Pelodiscus sinensis: one gene and its partner. The protein of the gene in region 2 binds, or shares a complex with, the protein of the main gene of each other region. Links are inferred from orthologs where the notes say so. Each region holds a gene or a part of one and is shown on either strand. Other genes may lie near its edges.

Evidence for each region. Proteins that work in one complex are often made in the same cells at the same time.
Region 1: the proteins of TNKS2 (region 2) and SH3BP2 are in contact, whole or in part, in a crystal structure (PDB 3TWR), measured with the Homo sapiens proteins. The link is inferred for Pelodiscus sinensis from reciprocal best matches to the Homo sapiens genes TNKS2 and SH3BP2. Residues at the interface, in NP_079511.1 of Homo sapiens: Arg525, Ser527, His531, Phe532, Gly535, Tyr536, Asn537, Arg538, Leu560, Asn565, Ser568, Tyr569, His571, Asp589, Trp591, Phe593, Glu598, Lys604; in NP_001116153.1 of Homo sapiens: Leu413, Gln414, Arg415, Ser416, Pro417, Pro418, Asp419, Gly420, Gln421, Ser422, Arg424.

What each region holds. Positions count from the first base shown.
Region 1 is NC_134715.1:117,061,402-117,068,226, forward strand, and holds the start of SH3BP2 (SH3 domain-binding protein 2), read right to left. Parts: upstream 3,010-6,825; 5' UTR 2,475-3,009; coding exon 2,353-2,474; intron 1-2,352. UniProt on the Homo sapiens protein: Binds differentially to the SH3 domains of certain proteins of signal transduction pathways. Binds to phosphatidylinositols; linking the hemopoietic tyrosine kinase fes to the cytoplasmic membrane in a phosphorylation dependent mechanism.
Region 2 is NC_134718.1:40,946,188-40,953,543, reverse strand, and holds the start of TNKS2 (poly [ADP-ribose] polymerase tankyrase-2), read right to left. Parts: upstream 3,012-7,356; 5' UTR 2,845-3,011; coding exon 2,646-2,844; intron 1-2,645. UniProt on the Homo sapiens protein: Poly-ADP-ribosyltransferase involved in various processes such as Wnt signaling pathway, telomere length and vesicle trafficking.

The DNA of each region.
Region 1 (6,825 bases), on a different chromosome or scaffold from region 2:
TCCCCCTATTCAGCACCCCAAGTCCCTTCTGTTTCCCAACACCAGGCACCAAGCTGCCACCCCCCAGAGCCTGTGCTCCCATCCCCTTTCCCCACAGTCCTTTCCATGCTCCGCACTCCAAATCCATCCTTCACCTCCACCAGCAACAGCGGGGACTGGGAACCAATTGAGAGGGCTGCCAGAGGTGCACGTCCTTCTATCCAGCATCCTAAGCCCTCCCACTTCACAACCCCTACTCCAAGATCCAAACTTCCTTGCTTGTCCCACACCAAATGCACTATAAATAAGACTTTCTGTGCAGATCAGAAATGCTAGTTTATTGTGCTTGCTGGTTGGTAAAGTGCTGGATAAAAGGGCTTTTACTACTACTGCTCAAAAATCTGTTCCACCTTATATTTAGCTACGACAATGACATTGAATACCTTTCTAATGCCTAAGGAAGAGCTCTGTGTAGCTAGAAAGCTTGTCTCTTTCTAGCTACAGCAACAGACATTTGTCCAACATATTACCTCATCTACCTTGTCTTTCTAATACCCTGGGATCAACAACAGCATTGCAAATAACGGCATACAGTCAGCCGAAGGCAGATTCCTTTCACACACTATTTATGTTGCCCTCTTGGTAATACCACTTCAATATGACGGTGTAGAGAGGTTTTCAGTCTTGGTATAATGGCCTTTGGTTAATGAAATAACTGCAGAAAAATTGCAGATGTCTGCATCTGATGGGGGTGCTCAAATCAATTATCTAAATCTTATCGAGAAATGAAATCCCATTCCTTCATTAATTTAAAATGCAGTTAGATTCAGTTATGTGTTTAGAATTACATAAAATGAAAGCAATTTTACCTTCAAAATCAGGTGTGTATTGTAAATGAAAAGACTCTTTTGGCCTTAAAATCTATTAATCTAAAAATATGTTAATGGTGCAAAAACATCCAGACTAAATACAGATTAACAATTAACAACTTCATCCTGCATGACATTGCATGCCCTTAATTCCAACTGAAATCAACTGGAATTGAGGCAACTTGCACCTTGCAGTTTCGACTTAATGTCTTGCACGATTCAGGCCTAAAAAAATCATGTTATTTTTATCTCTAAGCTTTTACCAACCCTATGTTATATTGGATGTCTTAGCTTTCTGTGATACTATTTGCACCCTGTGTTGTTAAACATAGAGGACCGTAGCAAATGAAAAATAGCCTTTCCAAGTTACACTAATAAACTACACATTGTCAAGTCAGTATTAAGAGATGAAAGAGACTGGGAATTGAATACCACTACAAAGCATTCAATTATGAACAAGTTTACTGTGCACATAGTGACTTGCTTTTAATTTCACCAAAGTGCCTTCCTTCCCCATCATCCCCCGACTTTTTTGTTTTTTTTTTTTAAATGAAGATTGATCCATCCTTAATTCACATAGAGTCAAGAAGAAAAGAGGATTCTTTTCAGGAAGTAATATCCTATTAATTTACTCTTTTTGCACAAAACATTAAACTTGAGCTCAGAAGTGTCAGACACTTTATGTTTGAGAATTTTTAAAAGTGCCATAATATCATATGTACTGTAGCATTTCATCTTTAAGTCCCATCTTGACAATACACCCATGAAAAGGGAGATCTCAGTGGAGAAAGCTTTTGAAAGTACAAATCATACAACAAAAGAAATGTTGCAGTAAATTAAGATGGAGGGAAGGACTATTGAAATGTCCATCTTTCACAGGTGGCCTTTCCCAGAGTGAGATAACACTATACACTCAACCAGGCTGGAAAGAGCAGAAAGAAAAGCAGCAGCATATTCTAAAGCGCATCAGAACAAATTCTACCATTTCAGCGTCAGCAAGACACACATTTACTTTCTGTTCCTAAAACTGGAATTTCTAACTTTTTAGAGACCTCAGATATTCTTCCACTAAGTCAATCCATTTCCAAATGAAAGTTCCAATAAAAGACAGATAGACAAAATATATTTTTGTCCAGTTGATCCCTTTCTTGCCTCCATTTTCAACAACAGTTCCCTCAGAAAGACCACTTATTGATACTGGCAACACTGTGGAGTCTGGTCAGTATTTTGGGAAGAGCGAGACTAAGACTAAACCCCACTGCAAAGCATTCAATTATGAACAAGTTTACTATGCACATAGTGACTTGACTAGCTTTACATTTCACTAAACTGCCTTCCTTCCCCATTCAGCCCCCTCCCCTTTCTTTAAATGAAGATTGTTGATTCATTCTTAATTCACACAGAAAAGTCAGGAACAAAAGAGGATTCTTTTCAGGATGTAATATTAGTTTACTCGTTCTAGAGATAAAGAATCTAGATTAACAAACTACAAATTCATACTAACCTGGTGACAAAATCTGACTGACACATAGTTTTCTTACTGAACGTGGCACCGAATGAGCGTTTCCTTTGTACGTATGAAGCCATTAGCCATTTATAATCCCCCTCAGGTAAGGAAGTCAGCATATCTCCCCCTAGTGTGCACCTATAGATTAAATATCACTGATTGTTGCTGCTGTAGCTTCAGGTTTCTTATTAAAAGGCGGAGAAAAAACTCTGTCCTGACCCTTCCATGCTGTCAAGTGGGACGCCGTCACGCCTCAGCAATGAGTTGTTTCCTTTTTTGTTCACAATGTGAATGTGTGTTGCTTCCTGTTCCCAGGGGTCATTGGGTAGCATATCTGTATCACAAACCTCCTGATTCGCCAGAGAGCTAGTAAAATGAAACTCACAAAAGTCTCAACCAGTGGCAGCCCACTAGCCACAAAGGGGGAGATTCCACTACTACAGCTGTTTTTATATTTTTTTCATCATGAAGTGGAGGATTCAAAAGAGGAAGGGTGGAGGGAGATTGCATGCTTGAGTTTACAATCCTGTGGAAGCATGATTCAGAACCATTGCTTACTGCTTACAGAACAGCAAATGTTTCAAATGATGTTGATTTATAATACAGGAAATGGATTAAATATTTCTCTCTAATATTCCCCAAAGGAACTAAAAACAGCCATCTTGTTAAAGATAGGGATGTAAGCAACTAGTCAACTATCCGATAAGCTTTTGTTTGTCAGACAGTCGACTAGTGACTCCCCCACCACTACCCTTGCTGCAACAAAGGGCAGGGTGGCAGCAAGAGGTGGGGGGAGCAGGAGCCAGTGCTGGTGGAACCGGCTTAAAAGCCAGTTCTCCGCCAGCACCATCTCTGTTGGGGGCAGAGGCGTAGTGGGAATCAGCTGATTCCAGACTCACACCTAGTCCCAGATGCACCTCTGCTTTTTAAGTGTATTAAAAGAGCTGTGCACCAGCCTTTTAAATGTATTAAGAGCTCACGCTGGGTCCCTTGTGCTGCACATTAGCCTTTTAAATTGATTAAGAGCCAATAGGCTCTTAATCCATTTAAAAGCAGTGGTCTCCAACCTTTTTAAGAACGAGATCACTTCTTTAATTTAAGTGCAATCCAAGATCTGCCTCATACCCAAACAACCTTGCCCTGCCTCCTTTGCACTCCTTCTCTGAGGACCTGCCCCTGCTTACTCCCTCCCCCATTCTCCCTCACTTTCCCCAGGCTGGGGCAACACTTTGGGGTGCAGGTTCTGGTCTTGGATTAAGGGATTTAGCATGTGAGAGGGATTCTGATCTGAGCTTGGGGCAGGCAATTGGGGTGTCAGAGGGGGTTGTAGGTGCAGGCTCTGGGTAGGTGTTTGGATGTAGGGGTACTCGGAGCGAGGGTAGGGCCTTGGGGTGCAGGAGAGGGTTTATGGCTATGGTAGGGGTTCAAGATGTGGGCTCCAGCTGGGCACTGCTTACCTCAGGTGGCTCCTGGGTGGTGGTGCAGTGTGGCTAAGGCAGATCCACCCCTGCCCTGGCCCTGCACCACTCCCAAAAGCAGCATCAAACTCCATCCCAAGACCTTTTGTGCCCCCACTCTGCTCTGTGGAGATAGAATAAAGGGTGGTTGAAAGCACCTTGACATCAGCGCCCTCCATTCCACTCCCTTCCCTCCCCTTCCCTGCACAGCAAGCAGGAGGCTCCTGAGGGGACAGCTCCAAAGCAAAGGGCAGGAGATATGCAGCAGTGTGGGAAGAGGCAGCTGAAGTTTCAGCACCTGATAGCCTCTTGGCCAAACCAGTCAGGATCACCTGTCAGAGGCTCCAAGATCTACCAGTAGATCCCGATGGACTGGTTGGAGACCACTGATTTAAAAGGCAGAGCCGCAGCAGGGTAAGCTCCCGAGCCAGTAGCTAGCCCCGCTGCAGCTCCCCACTTATCAACTAATTGACTAGTCAATTGAAAATCTATTGACGAGTCGATTGGTTGATTAAACTAAATTTAACATCCCTAGTTAAATACTCACAAAATGACTGCAGAAAGTTCACCCTTTATAATAGAAGGAATGCCTTAATACGATCACCATATTTCACCTTATACAAAGCACAAAGGAAGACAAAACTCTGCCTAAAGGATCTTACAACATAAAGACAAAATTCTACAATATAAGGGCTATCTGACAATGATGGTATATAATAATACCACTAGCATACACAGTTATAGCCCCCTCACCTGATGTAGCAACTTCCCTTGACTAGTCTCTTCCTCCTGCCCCTTGCTGCCTGTATCAGAGGCAGCAGGAATGGGGTGCTGGGGAGAGCCATCTTAAAAGTCAGATCCTCCAGCACCGTCTCTGCAGGAGGACATGGGAAGCAGAGGGCTAGCGGGGACCAGGCATGAGCTGGAAATCAGCTGATTCCTGGCTTGTACCCAGTCCCAGTACACTGCTCCTCTGCTTTCTAAATGTATTAAGAGCTGGCTCTTAATACATTTAAAAAGCAGAAGTGCAGCTGGAGGGAAGGAGACATCCGGCGCGAGCCAGGACAGCTGATTCCCAGCTTGCACTGGGTTCCCCCCGTTTTGCTTCAGCCTGCCAGCAAATAATACATTTAAAAGACAAAGCCGCAGCAGGGTAAGTTCCCAGGGCCAGGAGCTAACCCCACTGCGGCTCCCTGTCTTATCATCTAATGGACTAGTCGATGGAAATTCCATCATCTAGTCAATTAGTTTAATTAAATTTAACATCCCTAACCTAGCGGTCTTATGTGATAAAGATGCAAAAAATCCATATTAACCAGTCTGAGTTAGGCAACGCCACAGGATAAAAAGCACAGTTAAACCACATAATACAATAGATGATTAGCACAGTTCACAGTGGTGGGGACAAGATGTTTAAGAAGCATATGCTATGTGCTGCATACTTTACTTATTTTGGTGGATCAGAATAGGCAGCCTTCAAGGAAGATGTGTGTTTTAAAAACACATGAGTCAGTGTTGGGGATGGAAGAGTTTCCAAGCACAAGGAATGATATGGAAAAAGAAGGAGGCTATGAACAATATGATTAGGTGCATGGCTTAAAAAAGAAGAAAGGCTGTAGAAGAAGGATCTAGATTAGATCTAGGCTGAGATACAGAAAGGGTTGGTATTGGGTAGGAAAGCAGTTCTCAACCCTTTTCCATACCAGGACACCACCTGAAGTCCTCCTTCCACTTTGCCTGGAACCCCTCCCCACAGTTAGTAGTAAGTAAGAAGCAAGGGTGGCGGAGAGTATCTGAAACCTCTTCACAATCCCAAGGGTGAGTATAGCTGAGGCAGAACCTTGAAAGCAAGTTTTTAATGTATCTACACTTATTAGTCCAAATGTTACCTACCTCCCACGGTGAGGTTTTGTTAAGTATGACATTACCCAGGATATAATCTGGACTGACGAATGCCTGCGTCCCTTCAGTTCTCCAACCACAGATACCAATTACCCTGCTGGTTACAACTCCTGGTCTGTTCCCACACAGTTTCCAATGTGCAAGTCATTCTCCATTAGGGTATATGAGTGCTGCTGCCACACACACTTGAATAACACTGAAAAGCAACACCAGCAAATTCTCCATCCCAAAAATATGCATTTTGTACTGTCCAACTCTCTCCTTTCAGTCTAGGTTCCCTCCCCTGGTCCAAAGTTGTTTCCTTTGTTCTTCAGGCATTATGAATGGGCAGAGAGAAAGGGAGGAACAATTTGGAGTGCCTCTTCCCTTTCTCTTCTTTGAGAATCATCTTCTACTGAGGTTCAGGAGACAGCAAGTCCATGTGGACAGAAATCTCCGACGAGATGCAGATCTTTATCCACATCCTTTTTCCTGCCAAAGAAATGTCACTTAACCAGGAGATGGTCTATTTGATTTTACTGACACCTGGCTGAGGCACCGATAAGCGTCTTATCTCTGGAAACTGGTCTGTGGCTGCTCCCCCAGACATGGAACATGTCTAGTAGTAGCATACAAAGAATCTTATGAACTTTACATGCATTGTTTCCACACATATTTTATTAGATCAATAATGATCAGCAAATGACGAGGTTTCATATGACACCTCAAAAGGGATACTTTGTACAAAACTTATCATAGGGTACATCTAGACTACATGCCTCTGGCGACAGAGGCATGTAGATTAGGGTACCACACATAGTAAAATGAAGCATACCTGGGTGGTCGACAAATACCTTTGATGTCGGCAGGGGAGCGTCCAGACTATCACGCTGAGCTGACAAACAGCTGATCAGCTGTTTGTCGGCTCAGCGCGGCAGCCATGTAAATGTAAATGAAGCGGCGATTCCCTGATGTCCCCAAAAACACTAGACATTCAAGATGCTGGTGGCTATGGGGAAGGTGTGCCTGGGTGCTCAGGTGATTCTTGCACAAGAACAGGTTCAGGATCCTTATGAGGACCCGGAGAAACAATGGTGACCAAGACGAGGCCACGAAAGCCACTCGCGACATG
Region 2 (7,356 bases):
CTGGTAATCCTCCAGAGTTAGAAGACAAAGTATCACTTATTCACATAATGGAACAACAACAAAAAGTTTGCTACAACTGTACTCTTTTTTCATTTTCCATTCATAATAGAAAAGTTCCATCCAAGGGAAGGCAGATATATATCTTTTCAGGAGAGGCTAACAAGTCTTTGTGTCTGCCAGAAAGATCCTGAAGTTTTAGGAAGGGAGACATTAGTAACTGTATTCAGAAAGCAAAGGGAGGAATATGGAACCCACTACTGCCAATATCTTTGCTATGTAACTGCGCACACACCACCTCAAATACAGGCAGTCCCCGGGTTACGTACAAGATAGGGACTGTAGGTTTGTTCTTAAGTTGAATCTGTATGTAAGTCGGAACTGGCATCCAGATTCAGCCACTGCTGAAACTGACCGCCAGTTCTGACTTACATACAGATTCAACTTAAGAACCCCAAGCGTCCCCAAGTCAGCCGCTGCTGAAACTGACCAGCACTGACTACAGGAAGCCTGGGGCAGAGCAACTCTGCCTCGGGCTTCCTGTAGTCAGTGCTGGTCAGTTTCAGCAGCGGCTGAATCAGGATGCCTGGGGCAGAGCAGCTGGGGTGCTGCTGCGTTGGTCCAGTAGTGCCCAGAGCGGCGCTGCAGGACCAATCGGCAGCGCTCCAGCTGCTCTGCCCCAGGGTCCACAACAAAATCCTGGTCTGCTGGGGGGGGGGGGGCACACTAGCTGCGCCCCCCCCCCCCCCCCCAGCAGACCAGGGACACCGGGAGCAAAGCTGCAGCGGCAGCGGGGTGCCGCGCCTCTGAGGCTTTGCCCGAGCAAAGCCTCAGAGGCGCGGGACCCTGTCGCGGCTGCGGCTTCGCTCCCGGTGTCCCTGGTCTGCTGGAGACGGTCCCCAGCAGACCAGAGACACCGAGAGCGAAGCCGCAGCAGCGTCAGGGTCCCGCGCCTCTGAGGCTTTGCTCGGGCAAAGCCTCAGAGGCGCGGCACCCCGCTGCCGCTGCAGCTTTGCTCCCCATGTCCCTGGTCTGCTGGGGGGGGGGGCGCAGCTAGTGTGCCCCCCCCCCCCAGCAGACCAGGCTTTTGTTGTGGACCCTGGGGCCGCTGCTGTGGCTTCTCTCCCGGTGCCCCTGGTCTGCTGGAGACAGTCTCCAGCAGACCAGGGGCACCGGGAGCAGCTTTTCTCGCCCCGGAGGTCGAGGTGGCGGATCGCTGCCGGCGAGCTCCGGGGCGAGAAAGCCCGGTTCGTAAGTGCGGATCCGACATAAGTCGGATCCACGTAAGTCGGGGACTGCCTGTATGTCTGTTTCTATTTGGAATTCAATCCTATAGAAGTAGTGTGATTTTTTTTGAAGGTTATTCAGACCTTGAAAGTTCTATTGTGCAATACTGAAAAAGGTTATTCTTATGAAGGCACTTAGAGGGACTATACTGCAAGTGTCCCTTCAATAATTAAAATAGAAAAGTCTCTTTCAAGCTTGTAGTAGAAACAACTTGACAGGCTAACAAAGGAATTTGACTTTGTCAATCAATTGTAGGTGCAAGATCTTATTGAGGAAAAAAGTCACTGAAAGTAGTGAATTTGGTCGTTAGGTTTTGAAAGCATCAGGAGTTCCATAGCCTATTAAAGTTGTCTCATGCGTTCATAAGCTTCACTTTAACAGATAAACTGTTTCACAGGTCCATTGGAACCAAGCTATCCTGCAAGAGAATTTCAGAAAACTATGGCTAACCCCACAAAGGCTTATGAATATGAGAAGAAATGCCTTCAGCAGGCATCTATTAACCATGCAGCTTGCGAGCGGGGCTCGCTGCCACTTGTCAAGCCCTGTCAATGGATAACCTGAACCAAAAGTGGAACAGCAAGGCTATATATCCACAATGACCTACGTTAAGCAAACAATGGGCTATTACATTTTGTACCATGTCCAGAATGAGCATATATCTCTAAAAATGAGTTGTCATGTGCAAGCAAAGAGTCAACACAAGTATATGGACAGCTCACCTATAGCCAGGTCTGCTCCTGAAGAGATACAAGAGGATCAACTGTCAAATTTCAGTAACTACTTTAAAATCAACATGAGATAAGGTAATTCTTCCCTTAACTCTCAGTCTCGACACTTACATACCCTACTCAATATAGTACATAAAGTCTCTCCTCACATTTTTGTAAACAGTGACTTCAGTTTTACACGAAGGGAACCAGCACGACTCGAGATTCAAAGGACTTGTCAAAGATCACAGGACGTCTGGGAAACACAGCCTAGACCTGAACCCAAATCTCCAGTCCTGGCCCAGCACCTTATTCAGAGGTTATTCCACCTAATCAGCGGCCGTATCCTCCCTTCAACTCACAACCCCCAAACGGTGTTCGGCGCCCGGCAAGCAGGGCGGATCGCCAGGCTGGCGAGGGCACAAGTGAAGGGGGACAGGGCAGAAACCCCCAAGGCCCGTCACTAGAGCGCAGACACGGCCCCTCCAGTGGAGACAGGCTGTGCGGAACCAGGAGCCCGTACGGCCGGCCACTGGCAGCTAGCGAAGCCCCGCCACACGAAGGGGGCCAAGGGCGGGATCCTCGGGGCAGCCGGAGCGCGCTCGCTCCCACGCAGGCCCGGGCCCACCAGAGCAGCCGTGAGCTCGGTACCTGCGGCGAAGTGCAAGGGGCTGGACTTCCTGCCCGCCGTGTCCCTGCTGTTCACGTTCTCGGGCCGCACCAGCCGCTTGACTCGCTCCACGTCCCCGTTCCTGCAGGCCTCGAACAGCTCCCGGGCCGGCTCCGCCGCGGGCCCGCAGCCCGGCGCCTCCAAGGGGCCGGCCGCGCCCATGCCGCGCCGCCCGGCCATAGCGCTCCCCTCCCCAGCCGCTGCAGCGCTTCGGGGATCACAGGCGGCCCCCCGCCATGGCCCCGGCTCCCAACACGCTCGGCTAGAGACGGAAGCAGCGGCCACTCTCCCCCACCCCCAGCTGCTAGGCACGGCGCGCCGTACGGCCGCCGCCGGGGAGCGCCTGATTGTGCGGCATGCAGAGCATGCGCAGTAAGGACAAGCGCCGCCATTGGACCATGCACAGAGAACGCGTGTTGCTCTGTGCGCCTGCGCGAGGCGATAATTTCTCTCCCCCCCCCCCTCCGCGCGTGCGTAGTGGGAGTGGCGATAGGCTGGGCTGGTTGAACTTGCGTGAGAGAGCCCAGTGGTGGTGGGGGGGGGATCTCGCTCCTGAAGACAGGGCGATGCAGCGCCTCCTGCTGTGCTGGGCTCGCGGCTCAGGAGATCTGCCCGCTGCCTCCACGCAGCCTGGAGCTTCCCCAGGCGAGAGTCAGCGGTTGTGTGTTGGGGGGGGCGGCGGCGGATACAGCTGCGCCATTACGTAGAGTTACCAGATGATTTCAAAAAAATACCAGACACCGTTGATCTCAGATGGGGGGTGGGACTGGCCAGGAGCGAGGCTGGGGGGACTGCCGGTGGGGAGCTGGGCTGGCTGTGAGGGGTGGGGGGACTGGCCAGTGGGGAGTGGGGCTGGCCCAGGTGCTCTCAGATCCTGGGGTGCTGCCCATCCAGTGCACGGTCCGGCAGGGCGCACTGTCAAGTCCGGTCTGGGATTCTATCCCACCCCCACCCTCCTCTTCTCGACTGTGTAGTTGTGTACTGCCTGGCTGGTAGACATGCTTACACAGCCTGAGCGTGTCTACCGTCCAGGCAGTATGCAACTACATACTGATATTTTTATTTTAATAATAAAACTTACTTAATTAGAAAATACCAGACATTTATATGTCCAGTATTTTCTCAATTTGTTTCCTGTGCTGAAAGCTCAAATACCAGACTGTCTGGTTCAAAACCTGGCAACCCTACCATTGCATTGAGCTCAGTGTAACTTAGCTCAGTTGGTGGGATGGTGTGGGTGCCCCAAGAAATGCAGAGGAGAGCCCCGGGACCAGCTGGGAGTGTCCAGCTGGCCCTGGGCTCCTAGAAGCATGCATCATAGCATGGAGCCCAGGATCAGGGGGAGCGGGGCTCTGAGTCCCCCGCTGATCCCAATTAACTGCATTTTTAACCTCCCTAATTTGTACCCTGCCCTACAGATGTGGCTGGGTATCAGCTGTGATGAGTGAAGTGGAAGTCAGGGTTCTAGTTACATTTTTCCTGGCTAAATCCCTGCATCATCTTTGCTCTTAAATCCCACAGAGTCCCTTGTGAGTCTGTTCACAAAGCACCAAGGCATGTATGGTCAGAAGTATGCCAGGTTTATAATTTGTATGTGAATGCTGCCCATAGTTTTCTGGTAAGTCCAAAGAGGCCATATGGATAAAAGTAATCACACTACTTTGCAATGCAAAGTGACTAAGTCAGTTGGCAAAATGGATGGTGAGGAGACAGGTAAGAAGAAGAGCCAAACTCAAGGGCTTGTGGCTCTAAGGCAGTAGCTGATCTAGACTTGCCTTCATTGCTAAGGTCATTCTTATGCCTGTACTTGGGAGTATCCTTGGAGAATTTCTGTGGCAAACTAGTGCCTTCACTGTTTACCTGGGACATTAGTGTCAAGTGACAAGCCCTCTATGGACAGGTCAGTTCATCAGTCTGTCTTTGAGCTCCTCCTAAACAATTGTGAGCTAAAAAGTTTCAGGGGGGTAGCCATGGTATTCTGTAACTTTTTAAAAATAACAAGCAGTCCTGTGACATCTTAGTCCTGGCCTAACTCCCCTTATTTCAAAATAACAAGCAGAGCATCCACACTACCAAGCCCATTATTTCAAAGTAATGGGCTGGTTATTTCAAAATAACTCCTGCTTTCCTCAGGGAATAACACTTATTTTGAAATAGTTATTTCAAAATAGTGTTAGTGTGAACACTTCACTGCTATTTTGAAATGACCACTCCCCCAAGTAATTCAAAGTAATTACTCCCCAGTGCTTCCTGGGACTCTTAAGTTGAGGTAGCGCATTCACAATAAAGGAGCCTGCCTCAGACTAATTTTGCAGCTTCCCCAAACTCAGGCCATGCTATTTCGATTTTGTTAATTTGGGATTTATTTCAAATATAGTTATTTCAAAATAATTTCCTAGTGTAGACCTGTCCCTAGAGCCTAACAATTATATTAGGTCATAGGATTTTGTGGGTAAAATGCACTTCATTAGATGAGTTGGAATGGAAATTACAGAATCCAGCAAAAACAGTTACTTGTCAATTATAGAACTAGTGTTAATTAAGCCAAATAAATAAGGCTCTATTTATCCGATTCATAGCATTTGATGTGGGAATGAGAATATCAAAAGGTGGGGGAAATTGCCTTTGTAGTGCATTAACTAGTATATTTATTCAAGCCCAAAGTTCATAGTGTCGACATGTTCTCTCTTTCAGGAATGAGACTTTGCTTTCTTGAAGAATAAGTTTTATTAAACCAAACTCTCACCTTTGTTGAAATTTAAGCGGGAAATTCAGGCCAGATTTTCTACATGCACACTCTGCAGTCTCCCATTCTCTTGACATTTTAGGGTAAAAAGAATCAGAGTAATTTTAATAATCAGATCTGGTTTTGGAGAACTTATATCTTTAGGACACTTGTCAGATTGTTCTGATTTTCCCATCAGATATTCTATGCATATCCTTTAAGTAGTCTACCAGTTTCCATTGCAATCTTCATAGGTGTGTGGATTGCACAGCGTTTTGTAAAGGTGACTCTTAAAATAGGGATGTTAAAATGTGTGTAACTGATTAACCAAGTAACTGCTGATTTCAGCAGTTACATGGAGGGGAGGGCAGCCAGCTCCCTAGGAACTGGCATGTGCCGAGACCCAGCTTTTAAGTTGGCTCCCCACATGTACTGGCTTCCACCTGCTGTCCCATGCTGCTGCCTCTGTATCCTGAGAACCAGACCAGGAACTGGGTGTAGCCATTTGGGTAACTAATAAGCTCATGCTTATTGTTACACATTTACACAGCTACATTCTTACATCTGTATTCTTAAATAGAAAGTTTGCAGGTGTTTTAACTATAGGACACTTATGAGCCCCCTGTAATTTAGGCATCCAGGTCACTTGATTTTTAAAAGTGCCAAGCTTCCAGCAGCTCCCACTGAAGTCTAGAGAAAGTGAAAGACGCTATGTCTACACTGCAGTGCTATTTCAGGATACCGGAGGTATTCTGCGGCTTTTGAGTGAACCCGTTATTTTGAAATCTAACAGGCTCGCTATTCCAACATCCCTGTAAACCTCATTCCATGAGGAGTAAGAGACATTTTGGAATAGTGATTTATTTTGAAAAGTACTGTGTAAACTGCCAAATTTCAAAATAAGTGATTTCAAAATTGACTTGAAATAAGCGATGCAATTTGCAAAGCTCAAATTGCGTGGCTTATTTCAAGCTTCAGGTGCAATGTAGACACAGACACAGACAGACACATGAAAAGGACAAATCACATTTCAGAACAGGAGGGGAATGCTGGGGGAGGAGGGGGGGGAGAGGAAGGAAGGTAAGTGTCTGTGAATTGATGATACTAGAGGTGGGGAGAGTGGGATGTTTGTGAGTTAATGGTATTAGAGGTGATAATTGGGGAAGCTATCTTGATAATGGGTAAGATTGTTTGAGTGTTCTGAGTGTTAGCATACTGTGGGGCCATTGCGATTACAAGCAATTAGAAACACTATCCCAGAGGACACTACTGCCAACCTGATAGCAGACCTATGTAACTTTGTTCTCACCCACAATTATTTCCAGTTTGAGAACAACTTATACCTCCAGATCAGCGGCACAGCCATGGGTACACGCATGGCCCCACAGTATGCTAACATCTTTATGGCTGACCTAGAACAACGTTTCCTCAACTCCCGTCCCCTTTCACCCCTTCTCTACCTATGGTACATCGACGATGTCTTTATGATCTGGACGCATAGCCAAGAAACACTGGAGATATTCCACAGAGATTTCAACAACCTACACCCCACCATCAACCTCAGCCTGGACCATTCTACATGAGAGATCCACTTCCTGGACACCACAGTACAAATCAACAATGGAAAATTAGACACCACTCTCTACAGAAAACCCACCGACTCATACAGTTACCTACATGCTTCCAGCTCCCATCCAGAACACACCACACGATCCATCGTCTATAACCAAGGCCTTCGATACAACCGCATCTGCTCTAATCCCACTGATAGAGACTAGAAGCTTCAGGATCTCTACCAAGCATTTATAAACCTCAACTACCCACCCAGAGAAATAAAAAAGCAAATTGAAAGAACCAGACGAATACCTAGAAACCATCTACTTCAAGACAGACCCAAGAAAACCAACAATAGAACACCACTTGTCATCACCTACAACCCCCAACTTAAACCTGTCCAACACATTATC